Linked DNA regions of Astyanax mexicanus. The main gene of each other region encodes a partner of the protein of the gene in region 2 in a complex. Links are inferred from orthologs where the notes say so. Each region holds a gene or a part of one and is shown on either strand. Other genes may lie near its edges.

Region 1 (7,579 bases), on a different chromosome or scaffold from region 2:
TGTTTTCTATATCTGGGTTAAACAACATATAAACTGCATATATATGTGTGTGTGTGTGTGTGTGTGTGTGTGTGTGTAAGCATGTCTCACTCTGTAAGCTGTTTGGTCTTCTTTTCTATGAACTTCAGCGCTTCAGAGAGTGTGAACTCAACAAAAAACCCATACCCAACTGCAACAAAGATTTTAGAAGTGTCCGGTCTGAAACAGAAAGAAATCCACATCAGTCAGGCATGGAGATGCACACGGCAGAGAGCGCTGAGAGCGAGAGAAACCAAAGAAACCACACTCACACTTGAGCTTGAACATAGAAATTACAGCCAAGGTCTACATCTGTCTTAAGCTCTTTGCTGTCAGCTTCCTGAAAGGTAAGAAAGGCTACAGAGTCAGAAGTGGTGAGAACATACAGCAATCTGCCTTAATGATAATACAAGTTCTTTGTATTTCACTTAATGTGCATGTTATCAGGTTCACTGGGACTATAGGAGCACTTTGACACTGTTTCTTTTTATACTTTACTATGCCTCAAATTACCCTGTTCTCCAATGTTCAGGACTAGGGATGGGCGATATGGCCCTAAAATAATATCACAATATTTTACAATATCGATACTCTTGGCGATATGACAAAACAAGGAATTAAAAAATAATAATTTTAAGAAAACACTACTGCAACAAAATGAAAATGTAATTTTATTATTGCATACAATATGATATGGCACACCCCTAACTGAGATATATAATGGGAAATGAGCTCAGTGTGATTTTTGAAATTGTTTTTGCTAAAAACAGTTAAAAAAAAAGTACCCTGATGTGATAATTAGGGGTGTGTGATATGGCACAATATTTCAAGATATAATATCGATCATGATATTCAAAACCATTGGCAATATTATTGCGACGATGCAATTTGGCACACCCCAATTCAAGACCATGACAAAGCAGGTAAATGTACCTCAGGTGTGTTCAGGTACATTTCTCGTTTATTGCTATCTTAGCAACAGAAAACACAGGTGTGCCACGAACTAAAAACAACCTAGACAATAGTCATCAGTCAGATGTTCATTGCTATCTTGGCAATGCAGTATGCAGATAGACAGAACCACAGGATTACAGTCTATAATTATTGAACTGCAAAGTGCAAGTGCTCCTTTTTGCTCAGTTTACAAAAGCTATGGAGCAGATACATAATATCAGTAGGTCAGTATCAGCAGAAAATGCATGAATGAATCAGGAAAAAACGAATCTGATCCTGTAACTAAAACCAATCCTGAGAAAAACATGCACAGTGAGGTTGTTAGGTGTGTGTATCTTCCTTTAGGCTATGGGAGTGGTTTTAACACGGTGGCCTACTTTTAGATGCTCATCTTACTGGAATATGTTAATACCGGTATTCTGTTTTTTGGTCATTTTTACATGAGAGTACAGATTTGAATGCAGTTGAGAGGCAGTGAAACTAGAAACAAATAAAATACAATAAAGTGTACCTGAATACTTTTGATTGTATTCTTCAGCTGGAGATACTGTGATATTTTATCATACACTCCATCTCTCTGTTCCAACACTGTCCTAGATAAAACAAGCACAGTTACATTATATATATATAAATATAATGCAGTACAAAACATTAGAATTAAAAAGCATCTTATCTGGCCAGGTGTGAATGGGGAGCATGAGTGTTAAATGTGGGGTTCTCTTATAATGGCAAATGAATATTTAACATGGCACCTCATAATAAAGAACTCTCTGAGGATGTGAGAAACTGAATTGTTGCTCTACACAAAGATGGCCATATGCTAGCATACTAAAACTGAGCTACAGCACAGTGGCCAAGTTCATACAGCGGTTTAACAGGACAGGTTCAAATTTTATATAAGCCATATCCGGATGTTTGCTTAAAAAATGACACATAAGTGCTGCCAGCATTGCTGCAGTGGATGAAGACATTGGAGCCTGTCATTGCTCAGACCATCGGATTCATACTATATTAACTCAGTCTGGATAGCCATCTTCTAAAACTGAAGCAAAAGAAAGCCTACAAACAGTCTGCAGAAGACATGCAATCCAGGAGAGTGCAGTCCACTGATTGATCTATTTTAGGCTTTTATTTATATTATTGTTGATTAATATGGCTTACAGCCAATGAAAACTTCAAATTCAGTCTATAAAATTAGAATAGACCAACTGGTCCTTTTGGCAGAGTGGGCAGCGTGCCAAGTCCTGCTGGATAATGAAATCCGCTGTAAGATCTTCCGGGATAACAGTGCACTGACTTTGAACCTGATGTAACACAGTGGACCAACACCAGCAGATGACATTAAATTAGTTTATTAAAAGTTAATTCATTTAATTTCTTGTTAATTAATTGAATAATGTGTTTGAAAGAATCAGTTGTAAAGTTGTGAAGCGGTAGAATAGGTATACATTGATTAGCCCTATTTGAGTAATGTTCTAATTCATATTATGAGAAGCAAGAACTACTCAATAAAATAAAGACAAATGTTTAAGAAAAATGAAGGTCAGGCAATTTAAAAGGAACAATTTTAAAGAACTTTAAAATTATCTTCAAGTGTAGTCACAAATGTTCTGATGAAACAGTTTTCTCTGTTGTACAGGATAAATAAATAAGAATCCACAAGTTTTCAGCACCAATAAGGTACCAAGGTGCCTGAAACATCTGCACAACACAGTGTGATGTATATAAAGGCTAAATAAACAAATTTCTCATGTCAGTGTACAGCTACTCACTGTAAATCTCTCTTCAGAACGTCACTGATAAAAGCTTCATACTGCAGGACTTTGTCGTCGATGTTGAGATTACCAGAAGTCATCCTGCTAATTTAGTTACAGCTGCAGTTTCCACGTGGCACGGTAAAAAAACAAGCTGGATCTAGAATAACCTCATTAAAACACCGAAATTCAGGTTTTTCTTCTCCTGAGCTGCAGAATGAAGCTGACAGCTGAGAACCTGCTAACAGGCTAGCTAGGCTAGTTAGCTAGCAGTTATTTCAGGACTGACAGGTTAACTAGCTTCATAAAACACACACGCTGAGATATTAACACTTTTCCTGCGAGTAAATATCTAATAATTACTGATCTGCCTCGCGTAATCCTGCGCCATGTGAGAGTAAAGCGGTTGTTTACAAGATACCGGAAATAGCCATGACACGCAGCAGGAAACGAGAGGAACTTAAATTAATTATTATTATATTTTTTTAAAACTGATTTAAAAATTCAGAATATAAATAGAAAATATATGCTACACGTTTTGATTGGTATATTATAATAATAAATAAATACTATTAATAATACTTTTAATAATACAGGTGTTCATATTTAAATAACGTTAATATATTTACTTTATAAAAAAACAAAACGATATTTCCAATTTGTTAGAAATTTTAAACACATTTTAAATAATTTAATAACTAAGAGCTCAGGCTTTATTTATTCAGTTGTTTAAATTGTAGCTTAGCAAATGTATTCACGTTTTCCTTTATGTTTCATACAGAAAATACAAATTATTGTATTATAGAAAAAAATATTTTTGTGTTTAAAGATATACAAAAGTTCATTTTTAAAATAATAATCAGACCCAAATCATTAAGCTTCTTTCGTTACCGTTAGCTTACATTTTTGTTTAGTTTAAATTTTAAAAAATACATAAAACATAACATCATATTAATAGCATATTAATAGCAATTGGTCGCATATTGCTCTGATATTTAAACGATTATCTATATTTCACATCTATTATTATATTTATTTATTTAGAAGATTGAGTCCAAAATGAATGGATGTGAATAGGGCTAACAGCTAAAAACTAAAACTAAAAAAAAAAAAAAAAATAGTTACTATTCACTAATTCTTGACATTCCTTTAATTTTATAAATTGGATTAAATAATTTCTAAAAATGTAAAGAAAATATGCCTGTATGTTTCCTTTTTCTACAGCAAACAGGTTTTGGACAACAGATTCGCTAGCAATGCTGCTAACTACTGTGTGCTGATTGGTTGGTAAGAGATGTTGGTCATAGTGGAGTCAAACTGAGCACGTTTAAAAGGCGTATACTGGAGTTTTGACTGGATATCTGCGGTACTGAAACGTTTAATATATTCTGGGTCGAGCCAATTAGTATTTATTTCAGTGTAAACAATATCAAACATTTATAAATTTATTTTTAAACTGATTTTGCTCAATTGCTCCATATGAGTCCATTCATTTTGGACTCACTGTGGAGCGCCCTCTAGTGGTTGAACAAACACGCAGTAGATTTTTAAGTGGGTATTCTCCGCTCTATACGTTCTCTGGCCGTGCCATGCTGCGTCTCCTGCAGAGTACAGAGTTAGCTTAGCACTGTAGCCTAGCTAAGGTAGCGAAGTCGTGTCCTAGACCATAATTAACATTAGCTAAGTAGCTCAATAGCTCAACAATGAGGCTCACGGGGCTTCTTTAGTTTTCAAGTTGTATTTATAAGGCATAGTCACTATTTATATTATTAGTACTGTACAGTAATTTAAATTAGAGGTAGAATAAATGCTATATGCTAACTTGACCCGAGTTTAAAAGTTTAGGTTGGTTAGCTTAGATAGCTAATATTAACTTTTCTCCAAACATGGCTGGACCCGAGCTGCTGCTGGACTCCAGTATTCGTCTGTGGGTAGTTCTGCCCATTGTCTTTATCACGTTTTTTGTTGGAGTTCTGCGTCATTATGTCACTCAGCTTTTACAGAGTGATAAGAAAGTGGACCTGGAGCAAGTCTCTGACAGGTGAGAGGACCTCTGACTCAAACCCAAACCCACAACTAGCTTATCTACTCTGTTTACTCAGTTATGACTGGATAAAATTGATCAAATCACCCCAAACTAGCTCAATTACACTGTTTACCCAGTTATGAGTGGGTAAAATTGTTCAAGTGACCCAAAACTAGCTTATTAAATTATCAACTCATTTTTGACTAGGTGAAAATCAAACGGCCCAAAACTAGCTTATTTAGACAGTACTGAACTAGCTTTACTGTTTACTCAGTTATGACTGGGTATAAGAAATTAAATTTCCCCAAAATAGTTTATTTACACTGTTTACTCAGTTATGACTGGGTATGATTGATCAAATTTCCCCAAACTATATAATTTAGATTGTTTACTCAGTTAATACTGGGTAAAGTTAATCAAAACTAGTTTATTTACACTGTTTAATTAGTTATGGGTAAAGTTAATAAAAGTACCCAAAACTAGCTTATTTAGACAGTGCTAAACTAGCTTTACTCTGTTTACTCAGTAATGACTGGAAATTTTAATAAAATTATCTAAAACTAGCTTATTTACACTGTTATGTTACTTAGTTATGACTGAGTAAAATTAATCAAATGACCCACAACTAGCAGTTGCAAATGGGTAAAATTTATCAAAAACGACCCAAACTATTTTATGTAGATAATTTACTTAGTTATGACTGGGTAAAATTGATAAAATTATACAAAACTAGCTTATTTAGACAGTGCTGAACTAACTCTATTCTGTTTACTCAGTTATGATATAATAACTAATTATAATGACATTTTTCTGTACTCTGTACTGAATCATGCATTCATTAATTTATTTTTTAATGTTATAATGTGTTTTTTAGCCAGGTGTTGATACGCAGCCGCGTTCTCAGAGAGAATGGAAAGTACATCCCTAAACAGGTAATCTTTTTCTATAAGATGAAGCAACTTTAAGTAGATTATCATATCCAGTTTTTAACAGGCAGATTCTGGGCCCAGTTTCAGCAGCTGGATCTGGAAAGTTTATCCTCTGTTGCTCATTGTTAATCTCTGTTTGATTTCCAGTCATTTGCCATGAGGAAACATTACTTTAACGATGCTGAAACGGGTTTCTTCAAGAAGGTCAAGAGGAAAGTGGTGCCCAAAAATCCTATGACTGGTAAGCGCTGATGATGTAAACATTGATTGGGTGCTGTGAATTAAAACAGAATCACTTTTGGTGGGAAAAGATCTTTTTACATTTTCTGAATTCTATTTCCAGATACCAGCATGTTGACTGACATGATGAAAGGAAATCTCACCAACGTGCTGCCAATGATTGTAATCGGTGGCTGGATCAACTGGGCTTTCTCTGGGTTTGTCACTAGTGAGTACAAGTTGGTCATCCTGAGTCTCCTAAGACTCTCAAAGAGTTGTTTTAAACCCTGGAGCTGGAGTACCTTCTGCCCAGCACATTTTCGAGGGTTTCCAGGTCTAAATCGTCTTAGAGGGGTTTGTAAATTAGCTGCTTCTGTTGAGGCTGAGGTGGGTTGAGAGGAGGGTAGACACAAAGCCCTCGTCCACACGTTTACGTTTTTGTCTGATAACTCCTATTTTTCCTTATTTAAACTCTCACATCACATCAAATGCATGTTTTCTTGTCTAAATCTCATACATTATTCCCTATATAATTAATCATGTAAATTTTAAAACTACAGCATCTGCAGATAGCATGATTTCAGATTTCTACATATGAATAAATTGTATTTTATCATTTATTACATAATAATGCTCTGTTTAGATTTAAAATCTGTAAGGAGTAGTGTAATTTTTGTTTTTTCTTTCTCTCTTTGAGGTACAGTCAATCCATACAGCATAATCAGTGTTTCCCTCCATTTAGAGAGACATATGCTAACAGAGAGAGGAAAAGCTGGGTTTTTAAAAAAGTAATTTCTTGAAACTTTGCAGTTTTTATGACTCTTTCAAATAAAATTCACTGATCTGCTAAAGTAGCGTTTTATCAGGAGGACTTTGAGAATAAAGATCTTTATATTGAAAGTCTTGATTCTTGATTGTGGAAATAGTCTTAAAGTATTTTGTTGCTTTTTCCACCCACAGCTAAGGTTCCCTTTCCACTGACTCTGAGGTTTAAACCGATGCTGCAGAGAGGGATTGAACTGCTGTCGCTGGATGCGTCCTGGTATAATATTTAAACTCCTATATTACTATAGTGTTAAGGTCACGAAAAAAAATAACGTATCTCCATTTAGTTGTTTGTACATTGACTTTCATTGAAAGCTAATAATGTTTCTACTTTCTTTTTTAAAATTCCCTTATTGGAGATACAAGGTTTTGGCGTATATATTGAGTCATGCAAATTTTTCTGGCAATGATTTCAGATTATGAAAGCGATTAAGAGAAAATGAGATTAGACACTTCTTTTGATTATTATTTAAAAATAAAATGTTAAAAATATATTTTTACAGGGTGAGTTCAGCCTCTTGGTATTTCCTTAATGTGTTTGGGCTGCGGAGCATGTACTCTCTCATACTCGGGCAGGACAACGGTAAGCAGAACTGTTTTATTGTTTTTTTTATTGTTTATTTTATGATCTGAATGTGTGTGTTTTAAGCAGACATTTGGAGCTGGTTCAGTTGTGCACAGTAAGATATATATGATTAGCCATTCTTGTCATTTTAACTTGAACGTAACATTAGCAGTACATCACCATGGCTGGATTACTGACAGCGGCCAGTGGGGCCTTGAGGTCAGGGGGCCTGGGGGGGACCTGGCCCAAAAAAGTTTGCAATGCCTATCAATATTTATAATACAATATA
Region 2 (7,616 bases):
TGTTAAAATCAACTGCATAAATCACTGAGCTAAAAACCCAGTATCTTTCACATGCTGAAGCAAGAATTTAAGTTCACCTGATCTAAACAGAGCAAAACTCTATATAAACATCTAAATATTCTAGATAATGTGGAGAAAACTGCAGCTTTTTTTATTAAAGGTGCTGCTGACTGATAAAGTAAATATATAAATCATGGAAAATCTATAGGTTAATGTATACGTTTGTGGACATTTTTTCTAATAGATAGAACCTCTGCTGACATTGTTGTGCAAGTGCACACACAGCTTGTCTAGTTCCTGCCAATAGAATAGGATTCCCTGGAGCAGATAAATATGAACCTTTTTGGTTCATTTGCCAGCCACTGGCTAGGAGTGTAAAGACCCCAGAGAAAGTGTGCTGGAATGACACTTTTTAATGGGATGAGTTGAGGAGTTGGGCATAAGGTGGCCGTGATCAAACAGCATCCAAACATCACTAATGCTCATCACTAAACTCAATCAAATCCTCATAGCAATGCTACGAATAAACACTATTTCAGAAGAAGCAGGAACTGCAATACTTTTTTTCCATATATGTTCGAAAAGACAAAAAACAATATTTGATTATAAAACATTATGCATTGGGATTGTGTGGCAGCTAATGTAAGAGAATAGTTCCTATTTACAGCACTGAAAATCTGTGGTTCGATGTTAAACATGACATTTACACAAGACACCTCAACATTGATGTCTGATTTATTTGATGTTTGTAAAGCAGTATTAAACTGTAATCCTAATCACAAATTGTAAAGGTTTTAATGCTGTCCTTATAAACTCTGGAGCACTGGGGTTGACAAAAAGACCAAAGAAAAATGTTTTGCAGAAAACCTGAGGACATGATTCCAACTAAAACTAATAAATCGTACACTTAAATGAGAAAGAAATAAAATTTCACATACGCCATTTTTAATGTTTTTCTCCCATCGTACAGACATATTCCGCAGGTCAAACAGCTTGATGTCTCCATTGTCGTAACCAGCACACACACAGCGGTCCTGGTCATTAAAGGCGTGACCTTTCAATGTAACATAAATAAATAAAGATTTACAACTAAATGGAGTAAAACATGTTTGTGCTTGTTGGCAAACTTTTGACATATTAACTGGATATAGTGTAAAATACACACCAAAAGCAACTGTCCAACAATCTCTCTTAGTTTCTCCTTCGACTGGCTCCATGTTTGCCACAGGTGTGTCCTTTTGTCTCGGGTCCCACACCTTAACTGTACCTACAAAAACAAGTCAAAATACGTACGCCTGATTACAAACTACTGTTCGTACCTAATAGCAAACTTTCTATTGTAGTGTGCATCTCGAAAGCAGTAACGCATACCGTCTCTGCTTCCTGTAACGATTTCTGGAGCACCATCTCCAATACCTAAACCTCCAACGCCATCAACAGCGTTCACTATCTCCTTATGGGCTTTCACCGAGTAAACCGGGACATCCGGCGCTTCCAGATTCCTAAACAAACATTCATACTTCAGTCAGCCTGTTAGTAAAAACTCTAACATACTAGAAAGAAAAAAATTTAAGAAAAAAAAATTATTAATACCACACGTGTAGATTTCCATCAAAGTCTCCTGTGGCCAAATGCCTCTGCTGGAGAGATGAAGCTCCAAACGTCCCACATTTTATGGGCTTGGTTTTCTCCGTCTGAAATACAGAAACAGAACACAAAACTAAGCAGTGCTAATGAATGCAGTCATGAGCATGTGTGCGGATCAGTACACTACATGTAGGATTAGATTAAATGTAACTTAAGATCATAAAATCATGAGTACATACAAATGTTTAAATATATACATTTCCTAGAATTTTGATCAGCACTGTGGGGAACATAAGCAAACACAGTCAACGGCCATCGTTGTTAGTAGGGATGCACCGAAACTGGGATACTCAACAAAAATAACAAAAAAAAAATCAAGTAATAAGTGTTAAGTAAAGCTAAAGACAAATTTATTCTGAACAGTATTGTGTTTTGTTAGAATCTCTGCTTGGAAGTTATAAATATTTAAAATATCGAGACACATGCTGCATTCATTGTTTCTGGTAATACAAGTTCTAAATAAAAGTTTATCCTGCTTTTATTGTAGCAACTGTGACATCTGGCCAGGAAAGACTTTCTACTAGATTTGGAGCAATGCTGTGAGGATTTGATTGCATTGGATGACAAAAAGAGCTACTAAGTGAGATATCATAGAATTTGAAGTGAAGAGAGGTGGAGAGATTAATAAAGGAGTATGGGTGGTTGATGAAGCCCTAAAATAATATCACAATATTTCATGGTATTTTCGTGATCACAATACTCTTGGCAATATGACAAAACACTGAGTTATAAAAATTATTACAAGAATACACTACTGCAACAAAATGAAAAAAAAAAAAAAAAACTTAATCACAGTTTTCATGCATCTTGGCATGTTCTCCTCCACCAGTCTTGCTCACTGATTTTGGATAACTATATGCCACTCCTGTTGCAAAAATTCAGGAAGTTCAGCTTGGTTTGATGGCTTGTGATCATCCATATTCCTCTTGATTATATTACATAGTAAGTTTACTAAAATTTAGTAAAATCAAAGAAACTCATCAGAGTTGTATATTTCAGTGTTGTTTTCGTATCACACGAGGACGTGGCTGCTGTAAAAACACGCTGAAATATATTATCAGAGCTGTCCCTGTTAATCCCCGTTGCTATGACAACCGACAGCCGGACTGTTCTAGAAATCTCAGAGACATTAGCGAGTTACAGACCCTCTAAACTAGAGAATCAGACACTTTTACAGCGATACAGTGATAAAGAGCTAGAGTTCACCTCTTTAACGAGCTTTATGTCTCCGTGCTGCAGCTCGTAGATCTGCATTAATCCGGTTCCTCTGCAGGAACTTCCCAAACACACGAACTTCGCGCTGCAGGGAATCCATTTACTGTCGAACAGCGAGTAATTCAGACTCTTCTGACTGTGGGAGACAACTTGCGGCTTGTCCAGTGGAGCCGACATCCCGCTCCTACCGCTATATAACTTTACTATATAAAATATATATTTATACAGCTCTACACACAGAGCTCCACTATACAGAACTCAGTTCTCTACTCTAACCTGAACTAACTAACGTTAACGCTTCAGTGTTGCACTCTGACCGACCGAGGACCCCTGAACCAACACCGCAGCTGTCCACAGAACTGCCTGACCGCCCGGCCCATACAAATATTTATTTTTCAGACCACATCGTAGACAGCCCTGCCCTCAGCACACTAACTCTATTTCATTTCAATCTTAAACACAGTTTAATCACATTTCTCTCGGTGTTTATCTCCCCTCGCCGCGCTGCTCCCGCTTTTATTCAGTCCGGCGTGTTCAGACAGCTCGGCCCGGGGTCCTTGTGAGTAGAGTGAGGGAGCGCGTGCTACAGGTAAACAGGGAGTTATTAATTCTCCTGTTTTTATTGAATCTGAGGAATAAACACCAAACCCTCCAGCATGGAGACCGCGGAGAGCACGCTGCCCGAGCCGGGGTTTGAGGAGGTCCGGGGGAAGCGGCGGGAGAAGCGGAAGAGAGCGGCGCAGGACGCGGGCATGGAGAGCGACGAGCCTGCTGCGCCCAAGAGGCCGCAGTTCCCCCCCATATCAGGCGATTTACTGCAGGTACAACACTGACCGGGTTCTGTCCTGTGACCCAGGTTAATAACCAGGCTAATAATCGGATTGACTCCGACGGTAGCTGCGGGTTTATTTATAGAAATGTCAAAGAGTTTCTGAGGGCAAAGCCATACACGTGTGCTGTTTTGCGCATGCGCAGATCCTCAGCATGAGCAGTAGCCACGGTACTTGTTAGCAAGTGTGTTTACTAAAAAAACTTAACCTAACAAAAAATATATAAGCGCTCTAACAAAGTTATTACACCTAATGGTTATGTGTACACTACCCCATAAAACCAAGCACACACGTATCCAGTAGAAGTCAGAGACACGCTGTTTGTTCAGGCTCGTTCACACGTGTCCAGATCGATAATATGTGGGCTTTAAATCCTGGTTCCATAGGTGTTCACACGTGTAAATAAGATAATGTCTAATATTTAGGTAACGTTACAAGGATGGATACAGCAGACAACATTTTAGCTAGCTGTAATCAGGTTGTGTTTATCAGTGTTGTTGATGATGATCTATTAATATAAGTTTGAGTCTCTGGTATTCTCGCTCAGCTCGTCTAAGAGCCATTTCGTCACTTCCATCTCTTCAGTCAGAATGAGAGAGTTAGTGTACAGGAGTTTACAACACTACAAAATAAGTGTTTTTATTGTTGTTGTTTTGTTATCTTAAACATATCTGGTTTGTTTTTCAGGGAGGTGCTGATGAGATGAGGAAAATACCTGTTCCTTCTCACCGCTACACACCGTTGAAGGACAACTGGCTTAAAATATTTACCCCCATTGTTGAGAACCTGCAACTTCAAGTCAGATTTAATCTCAAAACAAGAAATGTTGAGATTAAGGTAAAGACAAATTATTTCATTAAATGTGGTTGTGAAAGGGCTTGGAACTGTGAAACTCTTTCATTATTCTTCCTTTTCGTAAATGTATTTATTTATACATTTTCAGACGTGCAAGGAAACACAAGATATTGGTGCGCTCACGAAAGCAGCAGACTTTGTAAAGGCATTTGTTTTGGGATTTCAAGTTGAGGTGGGTATTTAGACACAGTATTTTGAAGATTACAGTGCAGTGAAAAAGTATTTGCCCTATATAGATTTCTTGTTTTTGCTTTTTTTGTCATACTTACATTTTTCAGAAAAAAGATAACCTAAGTGAATATATAAAAAAAACAGTTTTATTGCAGTTGTTGATGCCAAAAACACATCTGTACGGGGCAAATACTTTTTCACATCACTGTATATTTATGAATTACTGTGAAAAATAATTTTTTGAACTGTTCCTCAGGATGCACTTGCACTCATCAGACTGGATGAACTGTTTTTGGAAACATTTGATGTCACAGATGGTAAGTCTAATTTCAGCATTGATGTGCATTTACTCCTCGTAATGTCTCATTTGTAAAGTGGTTTTATTTGTGTAATTTTAGTTAAGCCTCTGAAAGGAGATCACCTCTGTAGAGCTGTTGGTAGAATAGCAGGCAAAGGAGGAAAAACTAAATTCACTATTGAAAACGTCACCAAAACTAGGATAGTCCTGGCAGACACGTGAGTGCATTGTAAATGTTTGTTCATTTTTTGTTTAATTGAACAGTTAATTGCTTATTTTAAGAAAAAATATTCATTTGTATGTGTGCTAATAAATACATTTTATCTTTTATTTTTGCAGGAAGGTTCACATATTAGGATCTTTTCAGAACATAAAAATGGCACGGACAGCTATATGCAATCTCATTTTGGGTAAGTAAAGGCAGGCTGGTGGCTTTTAACCTGCTCCTGGAGTATTGGAACACCTGACATTCACTGTTTCTTTTAAATTTATTTTAAATAATTTTAAGTGCTTTTGTTGGAGTAAATTCCAATTTATAATTCTGCATCGAACCTACGCCATAACCCGACGCACACCTCCCCAGAAATGTAACTATAGAACTCTGACAGCAGCAGCAGCAGCTGTGATTGGTCTACTGAGCTTTGTGTTCCTGCCTTCATGGTTTATACTGCAGAGTGATTCAGAGTCGTGTACACATGAATACAGAAGAATAAACATGCCCACTATGTCAGGCTCTCACGCAGACTACATTGTAGGCAATGCGTTGACTTGACTCAGAAGTATAAACCAGCCTTAACTGTGTCTCCTGTGCAGGGAAGACTTTATACTTAAAACATTTCTTTGAGCAGTTAATTGCATTTAGCTACATAAGCTTCATCATTTTAGAGAACACAGTTCCACTGTGTAGCATTAGGTATGGGGTGAAAAGGATCATGTTTTATCTAGTCCTATTCTATTAGCATCAAGTACTCTACAGAGACTAGACACACTGTGTGTTTGTGTTAGCACATCCGTGTCAGCAAAGGGTGCAACATAGATTACCTTAATGTTTTTATACTGTTTTATATGTCCAAAAAAATAATAATTTAAACCGTAACCTAATACCCCAACCTTACCCAAATAAAAGAAAGGTGTTGGATTTGAATTGTAACGTGCTGTAAGGGAGCTCTGTGGGTGAGGTTTGGAGGCCACTGAGCTGTGTGTGTGTGTGTATGTGTGTATAAGAGGTTGGGTGATGAAATGGATGGTTAGTAACTGGATTGATGTTTCCTTTCACCTCATCAGGGAGCCCACCATCAAAGGTGTATGGGAACATCCGAGCGGTTGCCAGTCGTTCAGCTGAGAGATTCTAACGCTGGCTGGATTTCTCTGATCTGGGACCTGTGGTGCAGCTGATGGACTCATACAGAAATGTGGCAGATTAGACACACAGGAACACGGGTCTGAAATATACCCAACCGGAACTAAAGAACTGTCCCGTCATTTCTGACTGTCTGATGGATCAGTAATTTCTGTAAATATTCACTTAAGAATTGATCAAAAATAAATAAAAATCACATAGCGCTGGAAAAGAGGCAACTCATAGATTCAGTGAGAAATGTGATATTTTAAAGATTTATTTTCATACAGTATCAAGTCTGTGTATTCCCACAGTAGGCAATACAATGCAGCATGCAGAGTGAACATCCCACACCTGAAATGTGGTGAAATTCCCATTCCATCAAAGTAAAGCTGGAGTGAAGTTTACTTTCCCCATATAAATGATGTTTTAATATTAAAAAAAAAAAACCCACCACAACCAGTATGTAAGATCTTCTGTTTGACTGAGTAAATCCCAGTCAGGTCCCTGCCACTCTAATTTAATCAGGAACATTTTAAAAGAAATGAGTTAACTAAACATAGGCAACATCCATGATTCTTAGATATTTGATATTAACATCACAATCTAAGTGTAAACAGTAGGAGTGCTGTAAATTGGAAAACATGCAGAAAGGAAAACGTGCATGCAGGCACTGGAGAAGCTCCAAGGGTTTCAAGATGCACAGAGAGCTGCAGTTAAAGAACGATGAAGGAAATACAGAGAGTGATTAAAGAGGAAAACCTTCTTTCCCCTCAGACTCTAAACTTGTCATGCGGAAACTTTCCAGTGTATTGCAGTCCCACCTAAACATTAAATTCACCATTAACAATGGAGTTATCATTTTTAATATGACCAGTTTTTTGCAGTAGATTGATTTGATATATGCTCACTGATAGTATATTAGGACTATTTCAGTGCACCTGTTTTAAAAAGACCCTAAAGAAGACGATGTTTAGGTAAACTATGAACACAGCTGTTTTCTTGGCATCTGTTTCTGTTTGACTGTTTCACAAGAGTTAAACACAAGTTACTCTGCAATAATATAAATATTTATAAATAAACAATCTATCACAATTGAAAACGGTATCATGGAACATGATTAAATGCAATAATGATAAATATCGCATACCACAATGTGTAAAATAAAAAACAAAAATGTTTTTGGCTTGAAAAAAAAAAATGCACCAAACATGTTTGCCCAAAAAATAATAATGACAGGCAGTATTTACGTAAAGTTTGT

What was found.
Region 1: dnaaf10 (region 2) and uxt share a complex: the UniProt entries of both Homo sapiens proteins name them as parts of the PAQosome complex. The link is inferred for Astyanax mexicanus from reciprocal best matches to the Homo sapiens genes DNAAF10 and UXT.

What each region holds. Positions count from the first base shown.
Region 1 is NC_064419.1:3,787,384-3,794,962, forward strand, and holds the start of uxt (protein UXT), read right to left. Parts: upstream 3,168-7,579; 5' UTR 2,828-3,167; coding exon 2,745-2,827; intron 1,566-2,744; coding exon 1,484-1,565; intron 359-1,483; coding exon 291-358; intron 199-290; coding exon 91-198; intron 1-90. Other genes in the region: zgc:86609 (ER membrane protein complex subunit 3-like), read left to right, coding at 4,613-4,767, 5,627-5,684, 5,829-5,922, 6,025-6,129, 6,861-6,942, 7,229-7,308. UniProt on the Homo sapiens protein: Involved in gene transcription regulation. Acts in concert with the corepressor URI1 to regulate androgen receptor AR-mediated transcription. Together with URI1, associates with chromatin to the NKX3-1 promoter region.
Region 2 is NC_064414.1:16,653,490-16,661,105, forward strand, and holds the start of dnaaf10 (dynein axonemal assembly factor 10), read right to left. Parts: upstream 3,293-7,616; 5' UTR 3,040-3,292; coding exon 2,854-3,039; intron 1,695-2,853; coding exon 1,594-1,694; intron 1,503-1,593; coding exon 1,372-1,502; intron 1,268-1,371; coding exon 1,166-1,267; intron 1,055-1,165; coding exon 939-1,054; intron 1-938. Other genes in the region: RNA-binding protein PNO1, read left to right, coding at 3,519-3,683, 4,380-4,529, 4,636-4,719, 4,975-5,035, 5,117-5,234, 5,356-5,426, 6,301-6,368. UniProt on the Homo sapiens protein: Key assembly factor specifically required for the stability of axonemal dynein heavy chains in cytoplasm.